Lytechinus pictus: one gene and its partners. The protein of the gene in region 2 interacts with the protein of the main gene of each other region in a pairwise test. Links are inferred from orthologs where the notes say so. Each region holds a gene or a part of one and is shown on either strand. Other genes may lie near its edges.

Region 1 (10,803 bases), on a different chromosome or scaffold from region 2:
GAACGGTCGCATACATGGGAATGAAACGGTAGTGCAATGTTGTAAGCCGTTGCGATCGGTCTTGCAACAGTCTTATGGCCCATATTATCATCGCAACCAGTCGCAAGACAGGTCTCTGTACATGAAGGTCGCTTGCGCATGTGCAAGTGTTGTACGACCTCCAGTCAAGTAAATGCGACTACTTAGTTGTGCCACCTCTCGCACCAAGTCATACAACGTTGAACAACACTCGCACGATGATCGCCCGACCGATGGTACGACCCCGGGTACGGCCTGATGCGAGTGAATCGATCGTATTTGATCGCGTTCGGATTTTGAACATGTTCAAAGTTCAGATGCGACCAGTCACGATCACCTCCGACCACCTCGAGTTTGTGCGATCGTCTACAACTACTGCGAGTGCTCGCAAGACGCCAAGAGATCGATCGTGCAACACTAAGAAAAAACTGTTGCAGGCGGTCGTAAACTGGTCGGACGTCAATTGTGAAAGGGGCTGAACGGTCGCATACATGCGAAAGCAACGGTAGTGGAATGTTGTAAGCCGTAATTTCGATCGGTCTTGCAACAGTCTTATATTATCGCACCCAGTCGCAACACTGGTCTCTGTAGGTCTCCAGCACATGTGCAAGTGTTGTACGACCTCCAGTCGACTAAATGCGACTATACTTAGTTGTGCCACCTCTTGCACCAAGTCGTACAACGTTGAACAACACTCACACAATGATCGCCCGACCGATGGTACGACCTGTTGCGAGTGAATCAATCGTATTTGATCGCGTTTGGATTTTGAACATGTTCAAAGTTCAGATGCGACCAGTCACGATCACCTCCAACCACCTCGAGTTTGTGCGATCGTCTACAACGACTGCGAGTGCTCGCAAGACACCAAGGGATCGATCGTGCAACAACAAGAAAAAACTGTTGCAGGTGGTCGTAAACAGGTCGTACGTCAATTGTGAAAGGGGCTTTTAAGTACATGTTAGAGTCACAAACAGACTTAACAACATTGTCGTGCCCACACAATGGGATTATAATGTTACAAGCAAATAAATTCACATTTTTTGTAAGAAAATTGAGATATACATGTACATGTTCGATGTATTTCCACAGCTCTACTTCTTTGAGTTTAAATTCAAAAGCACTGGAATATTGAGATCATTTATCATAAGGACATCCTCCCATAATGCGACCAACATGTGTGATAGTCTGCAGGCACAGACCCTGATTGGAACTTTGATCAACAAGTGTGCCTCCATGCAAAGACTAGCACATACAAAACTTGCTGTTCCAATACCTGAGCGAGAGAGCCTTCAGTACACAAGGCATGAGTAGGCTGCACATTCAGACCCTTAACTCGAGTGAAGGGTTTGCCCAGCAGACTACATGTATGATGTCACACTTGTACAACTACCCAATTACCTTTCTGAATATTGAAAATTGTCACTTTTATAAACTCTACTAGAGTTCAATGTGTAAACTCTTAGTACCATTTTCACACTGGCTTCACAAACCGCTACAGTCTCTCGACTGTAGCAGTGTTGCCTTCAGTGTGAATTGTTGGACCCGCAATATACTACCCTGGGATAACCTTGCCTTGCTGTAACTCCGCAACAAACTTTTGCTCTCACACCATAGTAATAGCAGAAGGACAGAAACGCGACTGTCGCAGTGTTCCTTCAGTGTGAAGGCACACTGCTACAACACTGGGATAAACCACTTGTGATTTGTTTACTTTAATACCAATGTACATGTATTCTACATAATGCATAATTCTACATTATGTGTGTGGAGCTAACTTCTTCTTCGCTGCCACTTTCTTCTTTTCATATTTTTCATAGTTCATGAGTCCTAATCTTTGACATAATAAAGTAATAGATTACAATCTGTTCTCTGTAACTGAAAAATAATGAAAATAATAGCAAAACGTAAAAGAATAGGTCTATAGCTCCATAATTGCCAAAGTAACTTAATTGGCTCACATAAATAATCAAGAGTGGGCAGAGGATCTCAAGCAACCCCACCCTCAAGCAGCACTTCCAGTCTATCAGAGTCGGGTCACTCACAGGGACACAAGCCTACATGTTTGCTAGGGAGGTAATGAAAATCACCTGCTGCAGTGTGAATGGTTACATAAAATTTTATCCCGGGATAATTTTTCTACTGTGAATGCAGTCTTAGCGGGTTAATAGCCAGTTTACAGCGGTGTCGTCGTCCTGCGACAGCACCAGGATAAATTTGAAAACCAGCGCGAAGATGATATGATAGCATTCAAAAGTAAACTCTAATAGAGTTTATAAATATAATAATAGTGATGATTTACTCTCTATCATGATGAATCACATGTTTTGTTTTGCTTTTTCATGGGAGGACATGTTATAGGGGTTCCATAGAATATATCATGGACGAAGAGTTTATTTACTATCATTTAGAACAAACAAAATACATGTAGGTGGAATTGGAATAACAAATTTGGATGTGTACAGGGGGGGGGGGGTGCACTTCCATTGACCAGTGGATATCATGCAAGTCAATGGGGTTTTAAAAAAAAAACACACCCTAAACAAGTATTTTCTATGATCATATTAAAACGCACCCCCTTAACGATAGCAGTTTAAAGCCCGACCCTTAACCAGAATTGGGTAAGAAACCCTGCCCTTAACAAGTATAAACCCCCTAGTTACAGAACCCCACATTTATCAAGTATTCCCACTTGCATGGACTGGAGTATCGAGGATAAATCACCCTTCAATCGGTCGGAGGTAAATTGCCAGGAAAAATTGGACCCTTAAAACTCAATCTTGTTAGCACAAAAGGTATAGAACTCGTCGACCCTTTTAAAAAATACATTCTAGTTTTTACAGGGTTGTTTGATTTAAATCATGTCGATTTAAATCATGATTTAAATCACGATTTAAATCACTTGATTTTTTTTTTTAAATCACTGATTTAAATCAACTTTTATGAAAAAAATTAGTTTTCTCTATTTTCTCTTCTTCTTAACAGATACTTTCAATGTAATCATTTTCATTTCTGTTCCACATGCTTTAGAGATACTTTAAAAGAATGATACACCCTCATGGAGTCTGATTTAACACCACTGTTTTATTTTCAAATTGTAAAACAAGCAAAACTGATGAAAACAACAAGTTTCTAACGAAGTAATGATAAATAACTCTCTGTATGTACACCAAACTGTTAAATCTTCAATAAAATAATATATTAAATCTACAAAGGTGCTCAAAGTCCACAACTTGGATACTTTTACAAAACAGCTGAACTACTTGTATGTACCTCCTTCTTGTTACTATTAATACCCATTCTTTCAATTACTTAAGTTGCAAAACCCTTAGTTTATTAGCTATTACCAGCTGTTAGTTGGGAAGTCCCCCATGTGATAGTTCTAGGAAATATTCCTAGCTAAAATCCCCCATGTGATAATTCTAGAAAATATTCCCAGCTAGAATTCCCAAGGGCAGTATAGGAACCCTAACAGGCCTTTAATAATGTCAATTTTGTTGGAAATTCTCAAGTTCTTTGAGTACTTCATGCATTGGAGTAACACTTTGGATGTTTTGGACTGACTGATTTAAATGTATACATAATACATAACATTACTTGGGCTTCCATAAAATGTCCCTCTCTATAATGCAAATAAATTATTTAAAAAAATAAAAAAATAATCTGTATATAAGTGGATTATTGTGTCAAATAGTACAATACACAATGTTCAAAAGACTACTTGACCACTATTATTGGTGTAAAACAGTTTAAATATAGTTTAAAACTTGTTAAGTGTGACCATTATTTTTCGTTGAAAAAAAATCAAAAAAATCTGATTTAAATCATAAAAATCCGATTTAAATTAAAAAAATCAGATTTTTTTGATTTTTTTAAAAAAATCAAAAAAATCAACAACCCTGAGTTTTTATCACCCTTGCAAATCACACCCTCTTCCAATCTCGTATGTTACTGCATTAATATCTGCAATCTGCATCAGATCTTCCCATAACATGTCATCAGCATTTGTTTTCTACACCCTTCTTACTTACAGTTACATGTCGTACATACATGTATCTTTTTCTACGTTTTATTAAATAACTAATCCACTTGTCAATGGAAGTGCCCCCCCCCCCCCCTGATGTGTCCACCAATTTTTGTTGCCGCTAAACGTCGGCCCTTGATTTCACAGCAAATCGCAATATTTCTACTGCTCCAATTCTTCAGACGTCGCTGTATATCACCAGGAGCTGGACATAGAGGAACAGAGGATCCTGCGTCCAGGACTGAACGATGAACCTTATGTCTGTTACCAAACCAATGCCGAAAATGGAGCCATTTCAAGTTTCAAATCAAAGTTTTTACTCAGTTTCAACTTTTAACTGGAGTTAACAATCTGACATTAAATGCCATGCCCATGGCAATGGTCTGTTTGTGATTAAAATTTATGAATAATGAAAAAGCATCGATAACATAATTCTACCGACAGTTTACAAAACTTTTCATTTTACACAGAATTACTGGACAAGAGCAAAACATTCATCAAAGAATTTCATTAGACTGTAACCCGGCGTTTATCCATTTGGAGGGCGTGTATCTCTCATTGCCCACACACATGACCGTACACACTCCGTACATTCACCGGATCTTACTACATGCAGTGGAGGATGAATCACACACACAGAGGCCATACACGTTACACGTAAACGATACAGAAAAAATAGACTTTACTGAAACCTGTGAATACAAACGGCTTACCTGCAAGTGCTCCTGAAAGCGAATGGGCAATACTTGCGACATCTTGCTGGATTTCAATATCCACTAATATATTAAAGTTATTATTTCTACAACCTGAAGAATTTGGAAAAATCAAAGAAATTTATTAACGGTGTACCGGCCAAACGGACTCATGCAGGCCGACATGAGTAGAGAAGAATCAAGTAGTTCCGGATTAAATATTTTATATTCATCCTATGATATGCAATTTCTTATTGATGGAATCATCATAAATCCGAAGTACCTTTTTATTTCATTTCAAGTTTTTTATTATTACGCTTGAAATATACATTCCATTTGGATAGGAAATATGGAATCACTTTCCTATAACTACATTCTTACGCAGTGATTTTCTATCACTGCGCTTGCCACATATTGCCAATCATCATCGAGCGAGACGCGAGCGCTAGCGGAGCTGAGAGTTGTAATTCAGTCAATTCATCGGCATTCGCTTGAGAATAGCTTCCGGGTTTCTGACTCGAACAAGTCGCGATTTTTGTGGTCTGCTAATGAAAAGTTGCCAATAAAATCAATAATTTTAGCAAGACCGTGTAAATCTAGCTTACAAAACTCCGAGGAGGGGTAGAGTTTAAGGCAAATTTACTTAAAATGCGTAGTTTCATTGCTTATATTCATCTTAAAGGGAAAAGCAGCTATCAAAACATAAAATCCTGTAAAACGCATGAAAATGATCAATACGATTTGTATATACCAATCCCGGATATCAATTCTTTTTTTTCATACAGATTGTACATGAGATACTATAATTTTCTAAATGTCATTGTTAGCATGATAATGATCAGCCAGGTAAAGTATCAACGACGAATAATTCTATGCTATAGGCTGTTAAGATTAAATGTAGTCAAATTATGGGGGTAATGTAAATATGCAATCAGGATCAAAGGGGGCGGAACCCGTATAGTGCAAGCAGACGACATGTCGATAGTGAGTTTCGGCCTAGTACTGTGTATCGAGAATGTGATGGGGCTGTTACTGCATACAACTGATCAGTGCTACATTTTCTCGAATTCAGCTTTGTCCCAGAGCCTGGGAAGCGGGGGTGCTTCAACACCCCCCCCCCAAAAAAAAAAAAAAAAATTCCTGGGGGGATCATCGCTGCGTGTATTATTCTCCATAGACACAGCACCCTCAGGTATGTGCAAAAATGGGAAAATGTAACCAAAAAGACCTTCATAATTCTTCTGGAACAATTTGACCTCCATTTTGTTTTGAAACTTTTTTTCAAAAAATCGTTCCCGTGGCCCTGAATTCGGCCCAACTTGAACTTTGAAATTCCCCCACTGAAATTGGTGACCATAGAATAAAACCATTTATCTACTTTGGATCGAATTTACACCCATATACAAAAAAAACCCTTATTACATAATTAAAAAATAACCTAATTATGCATGCATAGGAAAATCTGCATGCAATATCATCGGCCAATGATTCATTGTTCTATGTAAAAATGACTGATGCCAATAAAAAAGACTAATCCGACAAATAAATGTCAATTAGATTTTGATTTTACTTTTTGATTGTTAATGACTTTCTCTAAAGGCCTTTTACTTAAGGAACCAGGCGTGTGAAAAGGAGAAAGAAAAGGGGAAGACAAATGTCATGATAGAATTTCATATCATTTAATTCATTTCCACGAAAACAGCAAAGTAAATACAGTATTCACATTTTAAAATCATTATGAAACATACAAGTCAGGTAATTTTTTAAAAATTTAATTACTACAATATAACAAAAAAGGGAGTTTAATGTAAATAAAATTATGAATAATAAATAGCTATCTTATGGGGGAAACATTGCAACATTATACATAAGCATGTGAATCAGATTCCTTAAATCATAAATTGATTAAAATGATCCTATAATGCCCAAGTAGTTTTCTGCGTCATTTGTAGGTTCTCATTTGAATATAGGACTATACTACCCAAACAAAATAAAGTCCACCAGACCAAAAATTGACTTGAGTAAATGGAAAAAAATTAAAAACAAACGTCTCTTTCATGAACCACGGATCAGGGGCGATGGAACGTTATTACGTTGGGGGGGGGGCACAGCCAAAAGAGGCACTCATTATGTAAAAATTGGCATTTTGGTGCAAACGGATATTTTCCCCATGAGATTATCATCTGCGTGAAGTACTTGTGTGTTTTGTATATGAAGTTGAGAAAAGCATTATTGAAAACATTTCTGATTGATGAAATTTATATTTAGGCTTTATTTTTTTCCTCGAGAGAGCGTGGCTAACTTTTTTAAATTTTTTTTTTTCAAATCTGAAGTTGTAAAACTCGCTTTATAACTTTTGAGCACCACTTCACTTATACAGTGTCTCCAAGAATTATTAATTATTCGTTCACTACAACATTGCAAGATGAGAAGATGGACTATATTTTTTTTTTTTTTTTTTAAAGCAGTATTTCTGCATTTATTAATAAATCAAAATTACAAATTTATAACAATGATATAAAATGAAACATACATACTGATCAAGTTACAAAGGTGACAATTGTATAGTAGTTAAGTAGATATAATAGACATAATATTCATGTAAACAATAACAAATGAATGTAAATGCAGAGGCCAGCTATCGTAAGCTGAAAGCTTGAAATAATAGCAGCCAGGGGAAAAGAGGCTACATGGAAACCATAATAAAAATACCGAGTCTTTATTATTTAAAAGTGATGTCACTTATATAGCTTAAAATATAATAAAAGGAAGGGGGGGGAAGGGGCAAGATGAAGTGTGTGCAAGTGAGTGCGAGTGCAGGTGATAATTTATAAGTATTTAGATAAAAGGTACCTCTTTAGTGAAGCTTTAAATGATATAAGAGATGCAGCTTGTTTGATATCATTCGGAAGGTTGTTCCAAACATCCGGGCCGTGATGCCGTATTGTTTTGTGAGCAATTATTAGTTTTGGGTTTGTTAAATGAAAGTCAGATGAATGTCGAGTAGGGTATGAATGAATGTCTCTATTATAGACAAAAATATTTCGAAAGGGTGTTGGTATAGTGTTGGTGGAAAATTTGTACATAAAAATAGCAGTTTGATAAGTGTGAATATCGTAGATCTTCAATGTTTTAAAATCATGAAATATAGGATCAGTATGAGCGAGATAATGGGAGTGATGACAAATGCGAAGTGCTTTCTTTTGAAGGCGCAATATTGAATCGATTTTGATTTTGTTACTATTTCCCCATACAATATTACAATAAGATATATACGATAAGATAAATGAGTTATAGAGCATAAGTAACGATCTTTGAGAGATATAATATTTTAATTTATACAAAATGCCTATGCCTCTTCCTGCCATCATGCTTATATTACGAATGTGACTACTCCAAGTTATGTTAGCATCGATCACTACACCTAAAAATTTAGTTTCTTGTTTTTCGTTAATGGGTATATCATTGATATAAATATTATCGCGAAATATATGTTTAGAATTAATGTGTTTGAAGTACATGAAATTTGTTTTATCTATGTTAAGTGAAAGTTTGTTTGATTTAAACCATATTGATAATTTCTTTAATTCTTGATTGAGAGTTGCATCAAGTATGTTTAAGTTGTGGTGTGAATAAAATATGTTGGTGTCATCTGCGAATAAAACATATGTAAGTAAGGGTGATGTGTTCACAATGTCGTTCATATATATTAAAAATAATAAAGGTCCCAGGATTGAACCCTGTGGTACTCCACATATTACGGGGCATATATTAGATGATTTGGATTTAAAATTAACATATTGGCGTCTATTAGCTAAATAATCTTTAAACCAAGATAGTACGATCCCTCTGATTCCATATGTCTTTAGTTTACTCAGTAATATGCGATGGTCCATTGTATCGAACGCCTTCGATAAATCCATAAAAACCCCAATAGTGTGCTCCTTTTTTGAAAGTGAATCAGTTATTTTATCATATAATTGTAAAATTGCATAATCGGTTGAATGGTTTTTTCTGAAACCATATTGATTGGGGATTAATAATTTGTTAGTGTCCAAAAATGAGTATAAACGATTGTAAACAATTTTTTCAAGTATTTTGGAAATGCTTGGTAACAGTGAAATAGGGCGGTAGTTTACAATCCGACATGGGTCATCTTTTTTATATATTGGAATAATTTTGGCAAGTTTTAGCGATTCAGGAAAAACACCTTGAGAGAGAGACAGATTGAAAATATGTACAAGTGGAGAAGCCAGGAAAAAAATTATTTGTTTAAGTAGATATACACTTATCCCATCATGGCCACTGGATTTGCTGGGTTTTAAGGATCGAACAATTTCTAACATTTCCTGAATATTTGTAGGGTTGAAAAATAAGGAGTGTTCGTTATGGTTATCTAAATATTGTGAAAAATCATGGTCATTGGTAACAATTTTCGAAGCTAGGTTTGGACCAACATTAGTAAAAAATGAATTGAATGCGTTTGCAATAACACTGGGGTCTCTGATGTGGTCACCATTTTCTAAAAATTCATCATTGTCTCGATCATCTTTTTTCTTACCTAGAATGTCATTTATTGTATGCCATAAAGTTTTGTTATTGTCTTTATTGTTTTCAATTTTGTCTGAGAAGTAAGATTTTCGTGCTAAACGGATTACAGATGTTAATTTATTACGATATTTTTTGTATTTATTTTGATGTTCTATTGTAGGTGATTTAAGTGATATCTTATACAATCTATTGCGAGTAAATATAGATTTAATTATTCCTTGAGTGATCCATGGTTGTTTATTCTTCTTTTTGTTTGAAGTTATTTTTGTCAAAGGTACGTTTTTGTTGTAATAATGAAGAAGTTTGTTTATGAATATTTCATATGAATTGTTAACATCCTGCTCTTGATAAACATCTTGCCATGTTTCTGTAAACAGATCTGTTTTTAGGGAATCTATGTTGCGCTTGGTCTCTTTTCGTCGAGTAGTGTGTTCTGTGTTGCATTGTTTATGTAAGCGATAGGTGCTTGAACATATCGTGAAAATAGGTAAATGATCAGAGATATCATAATATATTATTCCATTATTATTGGTATTAAATACATTTGTAAAAATATTGTCAATAATTGTATGTGTCGCATTTGTTATCCTCGTAGGTTTATCAATGAGAGGTTTAAAAGAAAATGATGACATCAAAGTGATCATGTGTTGGCCGAGGGCAGTATAAGGTATTGAGAGATCTATATTAAAATCGCCCATGATGTAGATGTCCTTATTTTCACGAGATACAGTTTCGAGACATAATTCTAATCTATCTAGGAATATATCAACAACGCTGTTTGGTGGCCTATATATTACACCGACTATTTTATTTTTATGTTTATCATCGATAATTTCTATGAATAAAGTTTCTAACCCGTCAAGTTGAATATCGTCCCTTATTTTATAATGCATATCATTGTGAATATAAAAAGCGACCCCACCTCCCTTACCTTGTTTACGATCTATATGGTTAAATGTATAATTATCAATTTCGAATATGGGAGGGGTTGTTGAGTGTAACCACGTCTCGGTCATACCTATAATAGAGAATGGAAATTTATTCAATATATTTAAGAATTCACTGAAAGTTTCAAAGTTCTTTTGTAAGCTTCGAATGTTTATGTGCATTAAGCTAAAGTGATTTGGTTTATCGTTTCGATTTTTAGTATTAAAAGCTGAAATAAATTCTTTAGCAGTGTAATATTTGCTCTGGGGGGCAAATACTTCATCATTAAATATGTCATCCAAATGAGGTACATTTTGGTTTGCAGTACGATTGGGAGTGCTCGGTGCGTGCAAGGTGCTAGGAGGGGTGCATGTGTTTTGCGTTGAGTGTATAAGGGTGTGTTCACGCGTGACGGTCTGACATACTCAAGGCTAGTGGCAACCTGTATTTTGTGACATTTGCTACAAAAAAATTGGGGGGGGGGGGGAGAAGGAGGAAAAAAGGTAAAATAGCTGTTTGCAAATAATTATGTTAAGATAAAACATAATGTTCGTGGGATTCTATTACCCTCAACAAAATGGGCAACATTGC
Region 2 (11,000 bases):
TGGTTCAAGCTTAAAGTTAACTTCAGTTCAATTAACCCTCTTAGAAATAAACATTGTATTTTTAAAATACTAGATCAAATTAATTGAAACTGATATGAGATTGTCATTTAATGTCACAAAAGATATGAAATTGATAGCAAGTTTCTCAATCATAATCAAGGTCAAAGGTCATTTGAGGTCAGCAAACTTTAATAGTGCATTTTTTCTTCCCTTTGCGAAAAATTATTCATCTTGATTGTTTTCAAAGTCGCCCATTATACATGTAATATTGTTATTTCTTGCCCCTCCCCATGTTTTCGGGGGTGGAGGGGGGCATCTCAGAAATAAATTAGTAATATAACATATCTTGTTCCTGGACCTGATTTCCCCATTTTTAGACTCAAGCCAGTGCCATAGCTGCTGGTGGGATTAGTCTGCTGTGCAAACCTTGTCTGCAGGCACAGACCCTGATTGAAACTTTGATCAAAAAGTGGGTCTCCATGCAAAGACTAGAATATAATATCTTGCTGTTTCCTGAGCAAGAGGGCCTTCAGTACACAAGGCATGAGTAGGCTGCACATTCAGACCCTAAACTCGAGTGAAGGCTTTGCACAGCAGACAAGGGCAAACCCTTCACTCAAGGAAAGTGGTCTGAATAAGCAGCCTAAGGTTTCTGCCAATGACTTGTGTACAGGAGGTCCTTTTGTTCAACAGAAAGTTGTATTCGTGCTAGTCTTGTGTGAAGTCTCACTTGTGGATCAACGTTTCAATAAGGGTCTGTGCATGCAGACTACATGTAGGGGGCAATGTTCTCTTAATAACATGCTATTATATAATGGCAGGTTCTCACATAAAAAACAATAACATTTAAAGACAAATGAAAAAAAAGTGTAATGCAAAGTATTATTTTTTTCATGTTGAATTGAAAAGCTTCATTTTGTACATAATGCTCCATCATGTTACTACATATACCGGGTACATGTACTATAATGTATTTATGTACAGTTTGATGAATATTTTATACCCTAGGCAATTTAAAAAATGAAGAATAGTAAAAATACAAATGGAAAATATGATATTTTAGGATATCAATTTATAATTTTGCATTTAAAAAGAGAATTTATCACTTTTTGTGAAAAAATGAAAATTCCTGAAAATTCCCGAAACTTTAAATGGAAATTTTCCAAAATTTCCGGAAAGTTTCCAGTCCTTTGCAACCCTATTCACCTCCCTGTTTTATCCGAACTTATATACATAAACATATGGCCATTGAGTCCCCTGTACAGATCGCGCTAGAACTTCGGTCTCTGTATTTGGTGAGTGAAGCCAACGGAGTTCAGCTGAACAACCAACATAACAGAGACCGAAGCTTTTGGTCTAATTTCTTCATTGCCATGTATATTTCAGTTATTAATGAGTTCATTCTCACCAAATTTAGACTCCCCCATAGAGAAATGCGATTTTCGTGGAGATCTGCATTTTCAAAGAACTTCAGGAAAAGTTAGGGTATGTGGGCCTTTATTACATGGCCGAGTACAGGTTATTGTACTGGAATAGATGGAGTAGAAATTAGATATTGAATTCATTTATATCCAAGTTCAACTCACAGTCACACCCACATCCAAGATTCTAAGCATGAAAAAACTAACTTAAAAAGTCATACAATATTAAAACTCATTAATAAGTGAACTGTCAAAAAACCTGGACTCACAATGCAGACTTCATGTTACCGCGTTCGCACTCATTTTTTCCCCTGAAAATTTTGCGCGATCTTTTCTTTAACACTACAACGCATTTGATTGGATTAAATACAGTACGGTAGATGCAGAGTGGGACATGTGGGAGGAGCTACATGTAGCCTGGAGGCGTCTGGGGAGTAAAAGTCATCTACTCTACGTAGGCTTACTCCCCACTTACGCCTGGGACGCCAAGGTATATTCACGCAAGTACGGCCACAAAACCTGAAACTTTCGCCCCCGAGATTTCTACTTTCCCTCTAAAAGATCTAGCCCTAAAACATGTACATGGAGTTCAACATTTCTGCGATATCGATTTTGGTTTTAAAGAAGAATTCAATAAAAAAACAAGAAAAATGTTATGAAAAGATGGGAAGAGCTTACGGCCGTCTTTAGGTCGCCATCTTGATTTCTTTGTCTTCCGCTTGGCGACAGCACGCAAATTGCGCTGTCGCCAAGCGGAAGACAAAGAAATCAAGATGGCGACGTAAACACGGCCGTCAGCACTTCCCATCTTTTCATAACATTTTTCTCGTTTTTTTATTGAATTCTTCTTTAAAAACAAAATCGATATCACAGAAATGTTGGAAATGAAGTTGAACCCCATGTATAGTCACGTATAGACAGGAATAACCGTCGTTTCTGGGGATTTATTCAACAATTTCTGACATTTTACTATAATCCCCATTTGTGAGTGAGCCAACGCAGTTCAGCGGAACAACCAAAATACAGAGACTGAAGCTTTTGGTCTAAGTCACGTATTGTATTACCGGACACTATTATGTTACCGGACGCGCGTATCACTGCGTTCTAAAACAAATTCGTACCGTAAGACTTCCGCAATTCAATTTCACAGAGCAATACATAGAACAAGATTGCAAAAACAAGGCGAAAAATCAAACTTTTACCTAATTATCTCTAAAAATTACAGAAAATGCTTAAAATATCATATAACATAGTTTTGTATTAACAATTGATATATTTTCTAACGGAAATATGGTCCTGATTTGCCGAATTTCAATCTCGTCCACTCCTTCGATCGAATGATGAGGTGTGGTGTATTGTGGGTGATCGTCGACGGCTAGTTCTCAAGGTACCCGTGCGCGAGGTTTACCGTGAGTAGAGCCGTCGATTGGCAGCGCATCGATAGAACTTGATGAGCGTCACGATACGAACGCGAGCATATTATTATTGGAAAGTGCCATGGAACATGCAGCTAACAAGACAAAATAAAATAAGTTATCAAACACGAATTTATTACCAACATCTGCTCAGATTCGATATAAAAAAAGCAAATAATACTTAGAATTTACTCATGATATGATATAAGAAAAAAATCACAAAAATTTGTTCTTACATCATTATAATCAAGGATATCTTTACCCGTCCGGCGCGCGTCCGGAATCATGATGTAATTTGTCGCGCACAAAAATAATTGTTTTTTGTGGAGGGGTATGCGACAAGTGCGATGCAAAGAAAACGGTTGGTAAATATAAAATAATTTTATCATATTCATAATTTTCATATTTGGAATAGCAAGTGTGAATTTTTCTTGATTGTATTTCCTCTAGTTGTCATTTTTAAAGCACTGAAATAAAGGTGTCCGGCAATGCCAATAGCCTAGGATACACTGCCATACATGTTTTACTTAGGGCTAGATCTTTTTTTTTTTAGAGGGAAAGTAGAAATCTCGGGAGCCAAAGTTTCAGGTTTTGTGGCCGTACGTGCGTGAATATACCTTGGCGTCCCAGGCGTCAGTGGGGAGTAAGCCTACGGCTACGTAGAGTAGATGACTTATACTTCCCCAGACGCCTCCAGGCTAGGACTCTACTAGGACTCGGAGTAGGAGCAAGGAGCTGAAGATAACACGAAATGATGATAACAACATGGTTATCAGAATACCGATTTGGGGGTATGTTAGGGGCGTGTTAAATCAGAGACATAACAACGATATTTAACACCAAAGTTAACACGATTTTCAGAATACCGCCCCACTACTAGTAGTAGGATGGGGGATCGGGTGTCCGGACACTTTATATTTTTGAAGCCTTCTTTTTTGTCATTGGATTACACTACAAATACGAAATCAATAGTTGTAATCATCTTCTATTTTGTTCTCTATAATATTTCCTGACATTTTGTACTAAAAATTGATAAAACTTTCCTTGTAAATTTTTCCAAATGACTTTCTAAAATTGATCGTCCGGACACACAACCTGTCCGGACACACAACAACTGGGTATACACTACTAGTACTACTAGGCCAGGGCCTACCTCTTTTGCCATCTGAAGCTCCTGTTTACAAGTTTCATAGAGTAAATCAAGGTCTTCATATTGCTGCTTTATTGCCTGCTTTTCTTCAAGAACAACTAAACCGTATTCAGCAGCCTGTATTTTCTCTCTGCTGGCCAAAGCGAGTTCCTCTTTCAAACGGCTGATTTCAACCCGTAACTCTTCGATGGTTTCCGAACCATCGTCCGAGTCGAACATGGCGAATGACTGCATTTTCAACAGCAAGTGATACCGGTAATGTTGGACTTGGAGCCGGCTAGACTCGGGTGGCCTGCACTCCTTGGCTCTGTGGTGACAATACCACTCGAGTTTCACAGTCGATCCACAAGGTTAATGACGAATCCAGCGTCCTGGACTTCACCCGTTTTCATCCTTGAATTTTGGAGATCATTGTGCTTCTTATAAAAAACAACACCGATGCTGAAAAGGTGAAATTTGAAGGTTTCTTAGTCCTGGGTCTATGGTACAATCGCAGACTCGCGACAATGCAACATACGGGAATGTAGTGAACGTTTCCTACGCGCGCGCATTATGCATTTGATTTATAGCGCAATATGCGCTAGCGCCAGGAAACTCTGCATGAGTCGGTTTTGTATTAGCAAAGATCGGGGGCGTATCCGCCCAGAGATTCCGAACTAGCTCAAAACCACATCTCTATGCTCAAAACTGAGCAAGCGCATCGCATCCGTACGTTTTCTCTCTGGTCATCGATATCGTATCTGTACGGTATGCCGTATACACGGTATCTGGAGCTGGAGTTCACCCCGCGTGCGTCTGCGCCATGGGCCATAGGTTTGCGCATGCATATAAGTGGGCGTGGGCGTGTCCTTAAAAGCCGTAAGTGGTACAATTTTAACGTTAGATATCTACTTTTTATGAAAAATAAATTAATGAGGAATAAAACAAAAATATGATGGGGCAAACCCCTCAAAGCAGCGTCCTTATTCGATAGCTCCTCTGAGATTGAATGTTCGAACAGTTTTTCCTCTCTACTTGAGGACAAGTCTCCCTTCTTCGCACCAATTGCTATATGTCCTCACCAACGAGTACGAGTGGTGACAAACCTTCACCTTCTCGTAAGAAGTCCCCGCAATCTGGTAATAGGAAACTGAGAGCTGTAGTCATCAATTTCCAAGGTCTCAGAAGCAAAGTCGAACCCCTATCCAATCTTATAAATTCTGTTCATCCAGATATAATATTTGGAACTGAAACTTGGGGAAATGATACTATTTCTAACTCTGAGCTTTTTCTAACACATCTTGATACGTATGGCGGAAAGACCGCAATGATGGTCATGGAGGTGTCCTCATTGCAGTTAGGAAAACGCTGCTCGCAGTAGCTCTTCCTGAATATGACGCTGATTGCGAAGTACTTTTGGACTAAGCTGAGGTCCCATGGCCAGAAAGATGTATATCTCGGAGTGTTTTACAACCCCATTATATAATGATCCTAATATGGCCTCCCTGGGCTTGAAGTTTCCTTGGGTAAACTTCCTCCTGATGCTTACAAGGTACTTGCTGGTGATTTTAACATGCCGGACATTGATTGGGACTCTGATTCAGTCAAGCCTTGCCCTGCAAGAGTCTACAAAAGTAGTACCCAACCATGCACCCTTCTTCTTGATATTGCTAGCCACCATAATCTCCAACAGGTCGTGAACTTCCCAACGAGACAACAGCATATGCTAGATCTTTTATTTACTACTAATCCTACATTGATTGACTCTGTTAAGCCGATTCCAGGGATCAGCGATCATGATTCTGTTGTTCAGATTGACTTCACTGGTACTGTCAAACATCAAAAAAGTAAAGCTCACAGAGTCTACAATTATAAGAAGGCAAACTTTGATAAGATCAGAACTGAGCTTTAGTCCTTTTCTGAAGAATTCTTCATCAACAGTCCTGGTACCAAGTCTGTCAATTTGAACTGGGAATCATTGACATGTAAATTGACATACCTAAAAGAGAAGTATATCCCTAGTAAGATGAGCAGTACTAGATTCAACCTGCCTTACATCACTAGGGAAATTAAGAGCAAGATCAGACAGAAGCATCGTGTATATAACCGTGCTCTCAAAAGTCAATCTCAGGAAGATTCCCAGTGAGCAAAATATATGGGGCCCATATGGGTTACTTGTGGGCTTATCAGGGCTAAAAATGTGGGCCCCATATGGGTTGCCAATGTGGGCTATGTATGGGCCCATCTGGGCCCCTTGTGTTTTTTGCACCGTACACCCCGTCTGGGGCCCATATGGGCCAGGGTTTCGCGTGGGGTAAATATGGGCAGGCCCACATCGTACCCATGTAAACCATATGGGGCCCATTTGGGCTATGTATGGCCCCACTTGGCCAATCTGGGACCCATATGTACACCCTATGTGGGGCCCATTTGGGCCAAGTGGGTTTAGTGTGGGTTGAATATGGGCAGGCCCACATTGCTCCCATATGGGCCCCATATGGATTTCCCATGTGGGCTATGTATGGCCCCACTTGGCCCATCTGGGACCCATGTGTTTTTTGCACCGTACACCCCGTCTGGGGCCCATATGGGCCAGGGTTTCGCGTGGGGTAAATATGGGCAGGCCCACATCGTACCCATGTAAACCATATGGGACCCATTTGGGCTATGTATGGCCCCACTTGGCCAATCTGGGACCCATATGTACACCCTATGTGGGGCCCATTTGGGCCAAGTGGGTTTAGTGTGGGTTGAATATGGGCAGGCCCACATTGCTCCCATATGGGCCCCATATGAAAACAATACTGTGTTTTTATATGGGTCCCATGTGGGCCATGTGGGTCCACGATGTTTTAATCAATTAAAAAAAATATATTAATTTGTATCATTAAGGTGACTTTCTATACAACCCAATACTCTAATCCTTATCATTTTATCATATCCTATAATCCTACATTCTAACCCTAAATCCTAATCCTATCCTATCCTACACCTAACCACTGAATCTTGTTATTGACTTCTATATATAGAGCGAGTTTGCTATACTTGACAGGCTATGGTTAATAACAATTTTCAATATTTAACCTTGAAAATTTTCTCCTGAAATTAAATGTTTTGATTTTTAATTTCATGGTAATAAATTACATACTTTTCTGAAACTTTTCATGGTGGAATCCTTGCTTAAACATAAACATATTAATTGTTGTAGCCGTATTAGCTAAAATTTTGATCATTTACTGTTGTAATGAATATTCATGAGTGCAGTCCAGATCGATCATCCAGAGATATTGAGCTCAGATGTGACCCATCTGGGTCCCAGAAGGCTTATCTGGTACATATGGGCCCAGATATAACCCAGATGGGTCCCACATATTTTAGCCCATCTGGGTCCCACTTGGAAATGCCCATCTCCAGCCCAGATGATATTCATCTGGTACATATGGGCCCAGATATAACCCAGATGGGCCCCATGTGGACCTACCCACTTCTAGCCCATATGGTTTCCATATGGGCCATATGGGTCCCAGATAACCCACATTGGACCCATATGGGTCCCAGATATTTTGCTATCTGGGCGTGTTCTCCTTTGAAAATTCAAAATTTTTCTTTATTTTAAGATGCACGATTAGAACCTAACCTGTGAATTGTAAGATCACAAACATTTTTTTTTATCCGTAAGCTATTTATCATCAATCGAATTAGCCGTATACATAGGCCCGGTACATAGGGTACCCGATAAATCCCTAAAATCAACACTAAACATGTGATTTCTAGAAAAGGCAGGCATTCCAAAGCGAACTTTTATGGGGTTGAGTTCTCATCATAAGTGTATCAAAAAATGTGAAAATGAAGAAAATCTTTTTTTTTCTTCTTCTTTCCCCCCCCCCCTTTTTTTACCCCTTCGAGATTTACCAACAATGTGAAATATACCTTGATTACTATCTATGTCGAGCTTTAAAATACATGATCGGATTTTAGTGTCAAGTAACAAATGCAAAGGCTAAGCCTAACCTACTAATTAACATTTATCAATCAAACATGAAAATAAAGAACGGATTTTGTCAAAAGCTAGAAATATCTATGAAAGATATAGGTTATTCTCATATTTGGGAAAACCTAAATGACCTAAACGACATCAAGTTAAATCAGTGGGTACAGTTTCAGGAAGATAGATACTGGAAGAGAATTATTGTAGTAAACTGAGAACGTATATAAAGACCTTAAACGTAGGCCCTACATAGAGAAATATTTATAACTAGACATTGATAATCTATAAGTTAGGAATTATTTGAAGATAAGAATTAGCAATTGTAAATTTATGAATGAACAAGGGCGACAAAAACAACTAGAAATCAATCAACGTACTCGCGCCCATCCTTAACCCGCAACAAGAAAAATTATGATAATAGGCCTATACCATAGTGCCGTCATTTAGAGAACTGAGCGAATCAGGTTACTTCTTGTACATCATGCAAATAAAAGTAATGATTACGATATAAGTAAAATTAATGTAACTAAATAATATGAGTAATTATAATGACGGACTATGATACACTCGTGTTAATAGATGACGCCATGGACGTGTTGTAATGACTTAATTGTAATATCTTGAAATCAGTAAGAGTTTGGCAAAATGTTTAATAATGTATTTTCTTTTCGAATGAACACATATTTTGGCGATTGCTTATATTTACTTGTATATATATATACTGTATATATATCTGTTTTGCCACGTTCATTATTTATCATATTTGATGACAATCCTAAACTGTGGATTTTATTTGAATAAATTGATTTGATTTGATTTGAAATTTCAATGTTCTTCAAAACATTTTTTTTTGACCAACCGTGTTATTTTGTTTTGAAATCCTCCTAATATAGTGATTTACCCCCCCCCCAAAAAAACAAAAAAAAACAAACAAACAAATTAAACAAAACAAAACAAAAACATACACACATTTTGATAGTTTTTCTTCTTTTTATGAAATAATTCCCCGTGAAGTGATGAGTTAACCATTCCCCTGCACAATATCTAAAAAAGGCGAGTGCGAATTAGCGTGAGCAGATTTTTTCCACGATATAACGGCCTATATTGTTCCCAGCCCCCCCCCCCCTCGTCTTTTTCTTTAATGTAATAATAATAATAGTTGGGCATTTATAAAGCGCCATTTCCTTTCGGTTACATGCAAAGCCCGGTCTCTCTCTCTCCCACTTTATCTTTTCTCTTTTCCTGTCCACTCTTATTTTTTTCCATTTCCTCTCCTTTTTGTTTTCCTCTCTTTTTCCTTCCCCCCTGATTTTTAGACCACCAATATGGGGGTGGGGGGGGGGCGGTCCCTTCGGCCCCTGTATCGCCAATGTATACATACAGACCCATTCGATACACAAATGTGTGTGCTACCTATGGATTTATTATGTGTCTATCAGTAGATTAATAGATTTATATCGGACCACATCGCCTACAGAGATACTGCTTATGGCCAATTATTAGTTCTACTATTTTATGTGGGTTGTAGTTTGGAGGATTCATTTGGCCCCGTATGGGTTTAATATGTCTCAATCTTGGCTTAGGCGATAAGCCACACCGCCAATATAGATACCACATGTAGCCTATTTGGTTTTATTTCATGGGTTCCAGGTAGAACCCAGATGGGGCCAATATGGGTTTGATATATGTCTCTATCTGGGCTCAGGCGATAAACCACATCGCCCCTATAGATGGTGCATGAGGCCCATATGGTTTACTTATTTTTTGGTTTCAGGTAGGACCAATATATAGGGCCCATATGGGTTTGATACGTTTCTTTCTGGGCTCAAGCGATCCAATATACATACAAAGTGGGGCCCATATGGTTTTACTTCGTAGGTTCTTGGTGGGAAGACCCATATAGGCCCCATATGGGTTAGATATGTCTCTATCTGGGATCAGGCGATAAGCCACACCGCCCATATGGAAACAACATTGGGCCCATATGGTTTTATTATATGGATTCGTGGGAGGACCCATATGGGCCCCAAATGGGTTTTATATTTATCTATCTGGGCTCAGTCGACCCAGAAATATGCCACTTCGCCCATATAGATACCACATGGGGCCCATATGGTTTTATTATGCGGGTTCTAGGTGGGAAAACCCATATGGGCCCCATATGGGTTTTATATGTTTCTATCTGGGCTCAGTCGATCCATAATTATGCCACTTCGCCCATATAGATACCACATGGGGCCCATATGGTTTTATTATGTGGGTTCTAGGTGGGAAAACCCATATGGGTTTTATATGTTTCTATCTGGGCTCAGTCGATCCATAATTATGCCACTTCGCCCATATAGATACCACATTGGGCCCATATGGTTTTATTATGTGGGTTCTAGGTGGGAAAACCCATATGGGCCCCATGTGGGTTTTATATGTTTCTATCTGGGCTCAGTCGATCCATAATTATGCCACTTCGCCCATATAGATACCACATGGGGCCCATATGGTTTTATTATGTGGGTTCTAGGTGGGAAAACCCATATGGGTTTTATATGTTTCTATCTGGGCTCAGTCGATCCATAATTATGCCACTTCGCCCATATAGATACCACATTGGGCCCATATGGTTTTATTATGTGGGTTCTAGGTGGGAAAACCCATATGGGCCCCATGTGGGTTTTATATGTTTCTATCTGGGCTCAGTCGATCCATACTTATGCCACTTCGCCCATATAGATACCACATGGGGCCCATATGGGTTTTATATGTTTCTATCTGGGCTCAGTCGATCCATAATTATGCCACTTCGCCCATATAGATACCACATGGGGCCCATATGGTTTTATTATGTGGGTTCTAGGTGGGAAAACCCATATGGGCCCCATATGGGTTTTATATGTTCCTATATGGGCTCAGGCGATCCATAATTATGCCACTTCGCCCATATAGATACCACATGGGGGCCCATATGGTTTTATTATGTGGGTTCTAGGTGGGAAAACCCATATAGGCCCCATATGGGTTTTATATGTTTCTATCTGGGCTCAGTCGACCCT
Region 3 (10,881 bases), on a different chromosome or scaffold from region 2:
GTAAATAGTTATGTAACATGAATTTCAAATATGTTCCATTTTGTTTAATGTACCATAATCTTTCCACTTAATCTACAGTTAATTATAATGAGCCTATCATATGGAAATAGACCTGATACTTTAAATCGTCTGCTACATTCTCATCACTGAAACATACATGTAGATTCGAACAAAACCAACTCTCCACAAATACAGTACTTGAAATAAAATGTCAATTTCAACCTGCCTTGAACCAGTAAAGGTTTCAATTGTTGACTCTTTCAATGTTTGACTTTGTTCATTGTACACTACTTTTCTTTGAAATAAAGATTACAAATTCTGTAAGGAAAAAAAATAATGATTTTTTTTTCAATATGACAAAAAAATATCTAAAAATATGAAAGTGATCACATCCACTACATAAATCAGTAACAAGATAAAATTCACTGATAAACTGTATCTTTCAGAATCATCACAGACAAAATAAGTCACGAGTAGACCGTTTTTATAAATCTACTTGCCGAAATGGGAACCAGCGTGTAGATCTACATGTACAAATCAATTCTCCATTTCGGCGAGTCCAGATGGTCAAGGGGTGTGTTCAATGTCAGTTTCCAAATTTGAATGGCAACATGAAACGTGACTGAAAACGAGATTACAAAACACGGATATAATGACGAGAAACAAAGTATGTGTTCAATGTCCTCCATTCCCAGTCTTAAAAGTAAACGTCTTTCAAATCAGGATTCCAAGGAAAATTTAAACGTCGAACAAGATGCGTTTGTTAATGCGATTAGCTCAAATTTTAGGACTTTGAGCATCACGAATGCGACATTCAACACAATTGAGTTTTGAAACATCTTTTAATTTGCTCTCGTAGTGGAAGCCTACACAAACAGGTGCCAGAACTGACCTCTCTTGTGATGGGGCAAAATGCGCACTACTGCTGCAATAACGAAAGCGGGAAATTTAGAGACAATCAACATATAAACAGCTTTATATTTTCGACACTGAACGGTGCACCACTGATTGTGTTTGCGTTTGGTATTTTGTAATTGAGTTTTCAATCATGAACATGTTGCTGTTTAAATTTGAAAATCGACATTGAACACACCCCATGTCTACTAGAGTCTTGGCCTAGTAAGATTTTTGTCAGAAACATCACTGACTACTAAGTATTACAATCATCCCACAAGTAAACTGTCTTTAATCAAATACAGTTAACTGGGACTCAATTTTATAATTATGAGGGGAGCAATAAAAAGCACTCCTAAAACTTTTAAGGGGAGTGGTAGAGGAGCACTGCAAAAAAGTTATTCTTTGACATACAAAAGGTCAGGAAGCTTTTTTGTCCGATTACAAAATGGATGGAATAATGTACACAAAATTACAACCCACAACCAAAGGAGACAAAAAATCAGATGCCTGGAATATATATATATGCAATATAATGATTAGTTAACATGTATTTCATTTTACCTCAATGCATTATGGAACATTTACATATTCTGTGATGAGCTGCTTTACATTGTTATCTTTAAACTGTTTATACTGAATTTACATGTACCGGTATGTTGTTTTTAAAAGAGCCTTTTTAATCGGCTTGTAAAATAAAGATAGAATTGAATCTCATTTTAAATGCGTGTTATTGCTTAAATGTACTGTAATTGTGTGTTATTTATAAAACCTTGACTGAGAATGAGGTTGGCTCTTTACAGAACATCGACTGACACACAAGTGATGTCAGAATAGTGATTAAACATGGAAGTAAAATGTTGTACAAATAATACAAAAGTGTACAGTATGATGTTGCATGATTTCTATTTTTTTTGCATTTCTGCATTTATCATTTTATGTCACAGAAAATCCGTTTCGCTTAGCCTTAGGCCAGTGATAAATTGCTCTACCTGAAATGGATTAAGGGGAGCGGTCGCGAGTGATCACTCTCGCAACCCTTTAAACTGAGTCCCTGAGTTATAAAACACTTTGCTAGTTATTTATCTTAATCATCACTAAAAAAAATAAATCTCACCAGTAAACTGTCTTTAATGTCATCAAAGCTATGGAAAATTCCCTACAGAGTTGTACACACTGGTTCCAATTTCAGCTAGTAGATAAATACAGTTTACTATAGTACATGTAGTGTCAGAAGTGAGATTCATTTAATCAGAATCATCACTGACAAAATAACTCTTATTAGTAGATCTGAACTGTCTAATTTACTCTTCAAAATGGCACCAGCATACAACTCTTTGGAGAAATTTCCATGATGGTTCCCATTTCGACTTACTTAAAGAGGTACTCTGCTCTGGGCTGAAAATAATATGACTTGAACAAAATACAGACAATCAAAACAATGAAAATCTGATCAAAATTGGACAAAGAATAACAAAGTTATGGTATTTTCCAGATTTGCATCTTTCATGTCTTTATGAATATTCAATGAGCTAACAGATGACTGCATAACACCACTTATTCTTTTGTATTTTCTTACGTGTCATTTTTAAAATTATTATTATTATTGATCATCAGATTTTGATGAAATTTTCAGCATGTTGCTCTGCTCTGTGAATTTTACTCAATTAATCTATATAAATATTTTCAGCCCAGAGTACCCCTTTAAGCTCTTTGAGTTTGATGGAATAAGGTAGATTCTAAATTGAGAACAGGAGAAATATGCCAGCAAGTGGTTAATTTGAATATAGGAAGCCACCAGTCGTGCCTTGTTGTTGATTTTCCAGTGGAAATCGCAAAATGGTTTCCAATTTCACGATAATGCCTAATAATGATTACCAATAGCATAATACCATGATTCATTCGGTGCTAATGCAGTTTCGTATCGGCCAACTTTGAGCAAATTTCCCCACCAGACCCGTTGCATATAACTTTTGGCGCACAGCAAGCCTTGAAATAAGCCGGCGCTGAGCGCAAATTCGCGCTCATAAAGCCATCAATTGCGCCCATAAAGCCCCCAAATCATCAAAATTTTGACGGCCGGATGCAAATATTTTCCAGGTAATTGCGCCCATCGTGAGTGAGCAGTGAAGCCATTTCATACATGTAATTTAAATATCTGAAAAGCCAAAATCAAGTAACTTTCAATTTACGATAAGCACAGTTTCAAATTGCCAAGTGCATCTTTTTTTCTGTACCATAAAAATTGAGCTACGTCCGTCTTTTTTTTTCTGTAATACATGTGCGCGCGTGATTCCGGTAGCGGTGACAGTTTTTCCATACTTCACCATGTGCAATTTCTAATGCACACATTTCCAGTTGGGATATCACAATTCTGTGATATAGTAATTCGAATTGCACAGGAGATAAATCCCTGTTCACAGCACATACGATGTACGAGTCTTTTATCCTCACAGTCGCCGACTTTGCTTGTCAAAACGGAGCCTTAATAATCCAAAATTACTTAGCTTATAGTTGTGAATTATTCCGTTTCAGATAGAGTTTAGATTTCATGTTAATTTTTGAAAACTGTCAAAAAACTTAATGATTTCTTCATTGTGATGAATATTTAAGTTATTAATGAATACATTTTCACAGAATTTAGACTCCCAGAATGAAAGGCATTTTTCTGTGGAGATCTGCATTTTCAAATAACTTGTGAAAAACTTAAGGTACATGAACCTACAATACATGTACATAGCCTGTGCCTGTGTGCTGGAATTTGAATAGACTGAGTTAGATATTGATTTCATTTCTTTATTTCTTTAACATAATTTATATGCAATCCAGATGCACCTCACAGTCACAATCACACACAAACACTCACCCACACCCGTGATTCTAACCATGAAAAAAACCTTAAAATTTGTATATTTTTTTCTAAATTTATTATTATTTGATCTGAATTCTCTCTTTCTCCATCTCCCTCTCTCTCTCTTTTTATATTTTTATTTTATTCATTTATTTAGATTTTTTTTTTTGGGGGGGGGGTTCATTGTTCGTGGTTCATTAAAGATGAAAAATAAATAAGCCCATGTGTGTGTGGTTGTGAAGGGGATGTGGAGTGAGGGTGTCAAAACACACTTAAACATTTAAATCTGATTTCTTAAATGTTTGAATAAGCCTATTACTTAGCATGCTATTCATGTACTAATTAAAAAATTGCAGGAGCTGCGCTTACTATAAACAAATTTGCAGTGTGGTTCACCGTTATATATTTTTTTTTTTAATTGCCCCTGGTTCCAGAAAATTGCCCCCGGTTCCTGTAAAAAGCCCGTGAGCCGGGGGCAATTTTTTTGAAAAATTGCCCCTGGTCTGCAACTGCTTATTTCAAGGCTTGGCGCACAGGAATATCAAGGCACAGCGCATGCAACACTTCCATGGGATTGCGGGAATGTGCGAATTGTTTATTAGATTTTAAATAAAATCAGTTTTCTATGAAACTTAACTTACCTAACGATATGTAGCAACTTTCCCCAAATATTTGTCATTTATACATGTACATTTAAGCACCGATTTTCTTCTCGTTGAAGAATGTTGGAGCTTACTCGCCGATTCCAATTTTTGTCTTCCCCAACGTTACGCGACGCTCGTGTCCGTAACGTTGGGGAAGTACAATAAGAAACAAGATGGCGGCGTAAACATCGGGCAAGTCTCTTCCGTCTTTTCACAATATTTTTTCATTTTTTTGATGAATTCTTGTTTTAAAAATAACAACGAGAGCGTAGAAATGTCGGAAATTAAGTTTTATCCCATGTACATGATTTAGAGCTAGATCTTTTAGAAGGAAAGTAGAAATCTCGGGGGTGAAGGTTTCAGGTTTTGTCTGGCTCTGTGTGGGTCTATGAGATAGAAGGCCTGGCTTCGTACGAGAGTAACCTTACGTTACTCGTTAGTAAATGATTTTTACTCTCTAGAAGCCGCCTGGCTAGTCTCGGCCCTCGGGGGCGAAAGTTTCAGGTTTTTGGGCGGTGTGTGTAGATGTATGGGAAGCAATTCCAGGCTCCATTGCATTGAGGGTAAGCACACGTTATGATTTTTACTCTCTAGGAGCCTCCTGGCTAGGGTAGAGTTCCTGTGAGAAACTGCATTAGCGCCGCATCATTCATCTGTTACCCGGTACACGTATTATTTCTACATAGACATGCATTGGCAATGGCATTTGCGTTGGATACGATATCATACAGCACACGATCACGAAAAGGGGGCCGGGCGTCGCCAGTGCGATACCGGCAAACTTACCACTCTGCTCGCCAAGGAAAACAAGCTTGAATTTCCTCAAAGGATTGCTGAAATCTCCGGAGGAAGACATCCTAAGTTGTTAATTTGGGGTTCTGAAAAGATAACCTCTTAAAACGTTTTGAAATCAAGCAAAAACAAGATATTTGATGATCTTATCTCTTCTGGATTCTCGGAGGTATCTTCGCCACGTTATAGATTCTGAGGTGTTCGGCGCATGCGCACTTAATGGATGCGTCATCTCGGATTATAAAAAAAAATAACTATATCAAAAAATAAATAGAAGCATTCCTGAAATAAGGTGAAATAACAATGATTTAATAGCAAGCGATATTCAAGTTAGGTGTTTCCCGGCATTGTAATTGGGAAACTTCACATTTGAGGGCTTTCACAAGGAACACGGTCAAGAAACATGTTGTTTTTTTATTTGTAATTAAGCAACAACAACAAAAAAGAAAATTGAGAGACTAAAGATTAGAAAACCAAGGGATAGAAGAACTTCGGAGAAGAAGAAGAAGATGATGATGAAGAAAAAGAACTTGAAGAAGAAGAAGAAGTAGAAGAAGAAGAAGAAAGGGAAGAAGAAGAGATCGAAGAAGAAGATCAAAGAAGAAGAAGGAGGAGGAGAAGAAGAAGAAGAAAAAAAGAAGGAGGAGAAGAAAAAGGGGAGTGTATACTTAAAGTAAGAATTCGGACACAGAAAATAAACTTTGAAAATGCCTTATAATTAAACGAGCAAAATAATGAGGACTAAAGTATGATGATCATGTATGTATGTCAAGTTCATGCAGACCACAATCACTTACCATCCAGTAAGTGGGAATAGCACGCAGAACATCAGGCAAGTTGAATAATGGGGTTTATAATACTGCCAAATGGGGAAGGGGTGTAAAAAAAGTTTTATGGCCAACAAAAAATGCTCTTAGTTCAATTCATATCAACGATTATTTGATGCAAAGAGGGAAAGGAATGATTATGAATAATTGAAAAAATGAAATACTTAATATATTGTTACATGAGATTAAATCTTATTTCAAGTCGATAAATGGAAAAAATAGTTTAAAAATATGGGTTTTTAATCAACAATTCATGATATACCTTCTTATGTAAAGAAATTAGGGTGCTATAAGGTATTTGAGGCATTATTTTGTGATCAAAGGTTCTAGTGTAACCCTTGCAACAAGGCTATGACATACTATCGGGACCAAAATTATGTTATGAATTTATTGAGCGTCCGAGCGCGAGATTTCGTGTTTTTATAATTCACAATATTTAGCAGGTTTTATAATGCATTTTTGATACGGCTATTTGATGATAACACTACATATTTTCTTTCTCAAAAGTAAGGGGATACATAGGCCATCGCCATCGGGCGGTTACATTTACCGGAGTCTGGGATGGAGGGATATTCTGAGCTTACCTGTAAGAAGTCCCTCCCGATAGGGGGCCGGTGTAAGGTAGGAAAAGCCCGTGAAGGGGGGGGGGGGCAAATAGTTCGGAAGTCTGAGATACGGTGGTGTTCGAAGCCTTGAAGAAAGAGGGTTTTTTCAGGGGGAAGAACAGATTGGCCACAGTGGCACAGCCAATCTGAAACGGATTATCCGAAAATGAGTTTGTATTACATTCATTGTTCAAATATTGTTACATAATTATTATAATCGTTGACTTTGATCATGACTTTTATGCCCATTGTGTTTACACTGTATGTATTTTAATCGTGAATAAAATAAACTAACCATTCAAATGATTTTTTTAGATCAACAGAGCTTGGTGATATCATAGGCCTACATCAGCTTGAAATTCTTGATGAAATAGCGCCATCACGTGTTTGAAGAAAATCTGACAGATGGAGAAAGATCGATTACTATATATAAAAGGTCAAAATATTATATACAAATAGCCAAAGTTGTATTTTTAATGGAAGAGATTCTACAAGCTATTTTCATGTGGAAAGAGGGGTAAGGCAGGGAGATCCGCTTTCACCATATCTTTTCATTTTATACATAGAAGTATATTATAGCGCATAATATAAGATATAATAATGATGTTAAAGGAATTTCCTTTGGAAAGGAAGAAGTAAAACAGATTATGTATGCAGATGATATCTATTTTTGTCCGAGATCTAGATTCAGTCAAAAAAGTAATAAAAATTTTAGAAAAATTCAGAAAAGTATCAGGACTTAAAGTTAATAGCGATAAGACGAAGGTTTTATTATTAGGTTCCTCTGAAGGAAAATAATATGATTTATCTTTTGGCCAAAATGTGGATTTTATAAAGATTCTCGGTGTATTTTTTTCTTTAGATGTAGAAGTAAAAGAAAGATTGAATTATAAAGAAATATTAAGTAAAATAAAGAAGTTGTTAAACTGGTGGAAGTAACGAGATTTAACTTTGATGGGCAAAATACAATTATTAAAGCAATTTATATTTTTAAAATTCATATATGTGGCATCTCTCACACCAATCCCAGGATGGGTTTATGTTGTACTTGATCAGTTGGCTTTTACTTTTTTGTGGGGTGGCAGATTAACAAAAGATTAACAAAAGAATGATGTATTTAGATTACCATCAAGGCGGCTTGAAAATGATGAATTTTCAATGGTTAATAAAGGCACAGAGAGTTATGTGGATTAAAAGACTAAAAGAAAATAATGCAATGAAATGGAAACAATATTTCAATTATTCCACAAAACATCTGGGAGGAAATTTTATATTTTCATGCGATTACTTGCTCGGATTGATGGAGATAGCATTGCCGCAATTTTATATAGATTTGTTAAAAAGTATGGATAGAGACGAAGAATTAAAATCTAAAACATTTAAAGGAAATGAGATATGTTTTAACAATAATTTTTTTACGAATTGAAGGGAAATGCATATTTAACCAAAAAATATATGAAAAAAATATTTACAGATTGAAACATATGGATTATGATGGAAACTGAAGGTCATTTTCGTACTTCCGAAGACAGGGTTTAAACATAAATGATTTTCATTTGATAGAGTCAATTTATAAAACTTTTCCAGTCAGCTGGAAACGAAATATGAAAATAGATAGCAAAGAGGCTTCTTTTAGGGAAGAAATATCATTTATATCTGGAAAAAGAATTTTGTCAATAGAGGAGTTAGTATCTAAAAACGTTTATGCAAATTTTATGAAATGTAACTTCGCAATACCTGATGTTTTCGAAAGGTTAAAAAAACAAATATAGTTTTTCTTATGAAAAGATTGAACACATTTTTGTGAGACCAAGACAATGTACTCTGAACAGTAGATTAAGAGAGTTTCAGTTTAAAATGTTGCACGGCATTGCTTATACAAATTATCACTTGTTCCGTTTTAAATCTCACAGAATAATCTTTGTTGTTATTGTAAAAAAGAGGAGGAAACATATCGCCATCTATTTTTGGAATGTGAATATGCTTGTCTGGTTTGGGATAATTGTAAGGAGATGTTTGGTTTTATTTCTACGGGTAATTTAAGCTGGGAGGAAATTCTTGTAGGTGTAGAATTAAAGGACGAAGGAAAGGAACGTTTAGTCAATTATTTGTCAAATTTTTAATCTTCAAAGGGAGGGAAAAGGGTGCACTTATAACCATGGATGAAATTAAAAGGAAATTTAAAGAAGAAGAATGGGAAGAAAGAAGACTGGCGCTAGGTAGAGGTAAGATGTCTCTACATTTAAGGAAATGGGAAAATCTTAATTAAAAGAATGTATAGGGAGAGTGAGGCAAATGTATATATACAACGAGAGACAAAACCACAAAACAAAATAAACAAAAACACAGAAAAAAATAAAAAACAATACGGAGAATTGTAGTCCCTTCCATGTAGATTATAGGCATAAAAATGGGAGGGTGCTCCTAACCTGGGGACGGGGGGGGGGGGGGTTAGGAGGTAGAACAACACTTTTTATCTTTTTTCCCTCTCATATCATTTCACACATCTTGTTAACATTTCATTTTGTAATTGCTGAAACGCATTAGTATTAATTTCTAGTATCTTTGAAGTTTGATGTATAATTTGTATAATTATATTTGTTATGGATTTATTGTATAATTTTAATCATGTTTCAAATAGTTTGTACAACTTGCTTATGGAATGTGAATGTGTATTTTGATTTGAGAGAAGGCAATACAACATCCTTAAAAAAAGGAAAAGTACACTGTAAAAAAAAAATCTGAATCGGTAATTAACACTTAATGTAGAATTTACAATTTGTAATTATTTTTCGTTTTTTTAAGTAGTTTTAACTTGTCTTTTAATTTACTTGATTTACTTGATTTATTTGGGTTCAATATACATTAAAGAAAATTCACATATTGATAGCTTGCTTTGATTGAGTAAATCTAACTCAATTAGGCAAAGATGAGTATTACTTATAAAATCAAGTTGAATGTACTTATATTTTTCAATTAACGCCATATTTAAATAATGCATGAATATTTATTAGAGCAAGTAAATGTTTTTTTTTATTAATAATTGTCATATCTATTTGTGTTTGAAATTGTTTTGGATAAGGGTGTGCTAACTATTTTTTTCTTATGTTGAATCAAAGAAAGAGCAACATTAAAAGTCATTTAGCAGAAAATTTCAGATTTCTTTTTAGGTTTTCGATGCTTATAAATTATTATTCTCACTGTTTTATTTGTAAGAATGAAACGATCACATATAAATATCAATGTCAGTACCTGTACATGTACAGGTAAGTGACAATGCACAAAGTCTAATGTTTGGATATATCATGTCTAAGATGAAAATGATGCCACCAAGTGGGACGATGGGGGAGCGGAATCCCGAAAGTCCACTCCCCCATTTGTGATTTTTTTCACTGATATTTTAGTGATTGTTTTACTTAATTGAATTAAGTTATTGTAACTTAATTATTGTAACTTAATTTTGAGTAAAATGGATGCAAAGAAAATAAGTAAATTTTACTTAAAACTGCCATAACTCATAAATACTCGAACAAATTAAGGCAGTTTCTTAACATAATTGAATTAAGTAAATAGGGCGGTATTTTTTTTTACAGTGTAAGAAGAACGGCCCTCATGATTTTTCAAGTAGATAATACAAGGGGAGAGAAAAAAGAGAGAAATGAAAGGAGAAAGGAGTACAAACATGTTCATTATGAAAAAAATATATATATCACTTCGTCGATCCCCATCCCCTAGGAAAATATCCTGGCGCCATTGGCCTAAATCTATAGGGAGGAGAGAAAGGGCGGGTGGGGGTGGATATCATGGGTGTCTGAGCAGAGGATTATCCTTTGTCCATGTGGGGATATCTATTTTTGTGCCCCCCCCCCCCCAACACATAATCCTCTAGCTGCTCCAGCACTGATGCCAATGGATATCGGGATATCCCGCAATTTTCAGGGAGGGTATACAGTCTGTACAATCATTCCCGAATGATATCAGGATAGAGTCATTTGGATTACACTCTAGGAATGATTTTTTATGTTAGAATACGTAAGACATGATATGGAATAGCGTAAAAAAGGATGTTGATATGCCGCAATTAAAGGGGAATCCAGCCTTGGCCATAAAATTAATGTTGTGTTGGGAAGGAGAAAAATAAATTAAACAGAATGGTAAAAGTTTGAAAGAAATCGGACAAGCAATAAAAAAGTTATAACTGCTTTATGTTGATTTCAAATTGGCAACTCGGTAAGTAAATTATGACAAGGGGCAAGGACAACTTTCCC

Evidence for each region.
Region 1: the proteins of protein bicaudal D homolog 1-like (region 2) and clathrin heavy chain 1 interact in binary tests that used the Drosophila melanogaster proteins (3 or more experiments, as listed by UniProt). The link is inferred for Lytechinus pictus from reciprocal best matches to the Drosophila melanogaster genes BicD and Chc.
Region 3: the proteins of protein bicaudal D homolog 1-like (region 2) and ras-related protein Rab6-like interact in a two-hybrid assay, tested with the Drosophila melanogaster proteins (3 studies listed by BioGRID). The link is inferred for Lytechinus pictus from reciprocal best matches to the Drosophila melanogaster genes BicD and Rab6.

What each region holds. Positions count from the first base shown.
Region 1 is NC_087246.1:33,380,375-33,391,177, reverse strand, and holds the start of clathrin heavy chain 1, read right to left. Parts: upstream 5,137-10,803; 5' UTR 4,798-5,136; coding exon 4,756-4,797; intron 1-4,755. UniProt on the Drosophila melanogaster protein: Clathrin is the major protein of the polyhedral coat of coated pits and vesicles.
Region 2 is NC_087247.1:56,902,822-56,913,821, reverse strand, and holds the start of protein bicaudal D homolog 1-like, read right to left. Parts: upstream 4,221-11,000; coding exon 3,990-4,220; intron 1-3,989. UniProt on the Drosophila melanogaster protein: This protein is essential for differentiation. It may play a role in localizing of Nanos (a maternal determinant) activity in oocytes. Functions redundantly with BicDR.
Region 3 is NC_087260.1:28,909,958-28,920,838, reverse strand, and holds the start of ras-related protein Rab6-like, read right to left. Parts: upstream 5,396-10,881; 5' UTR 5,246-5,395; coding exon 5,176-5,245; intron 1-5,175. UniProt on the Drosophila melanogaster protein: Protein transport. Regulator of membrane traffic from the Golgi apparatus towards the endoplasmic reticulum (ER). Mediates membrane trafficking during egg chamber growth and organization, possibly upstream of exocyst component Sec5.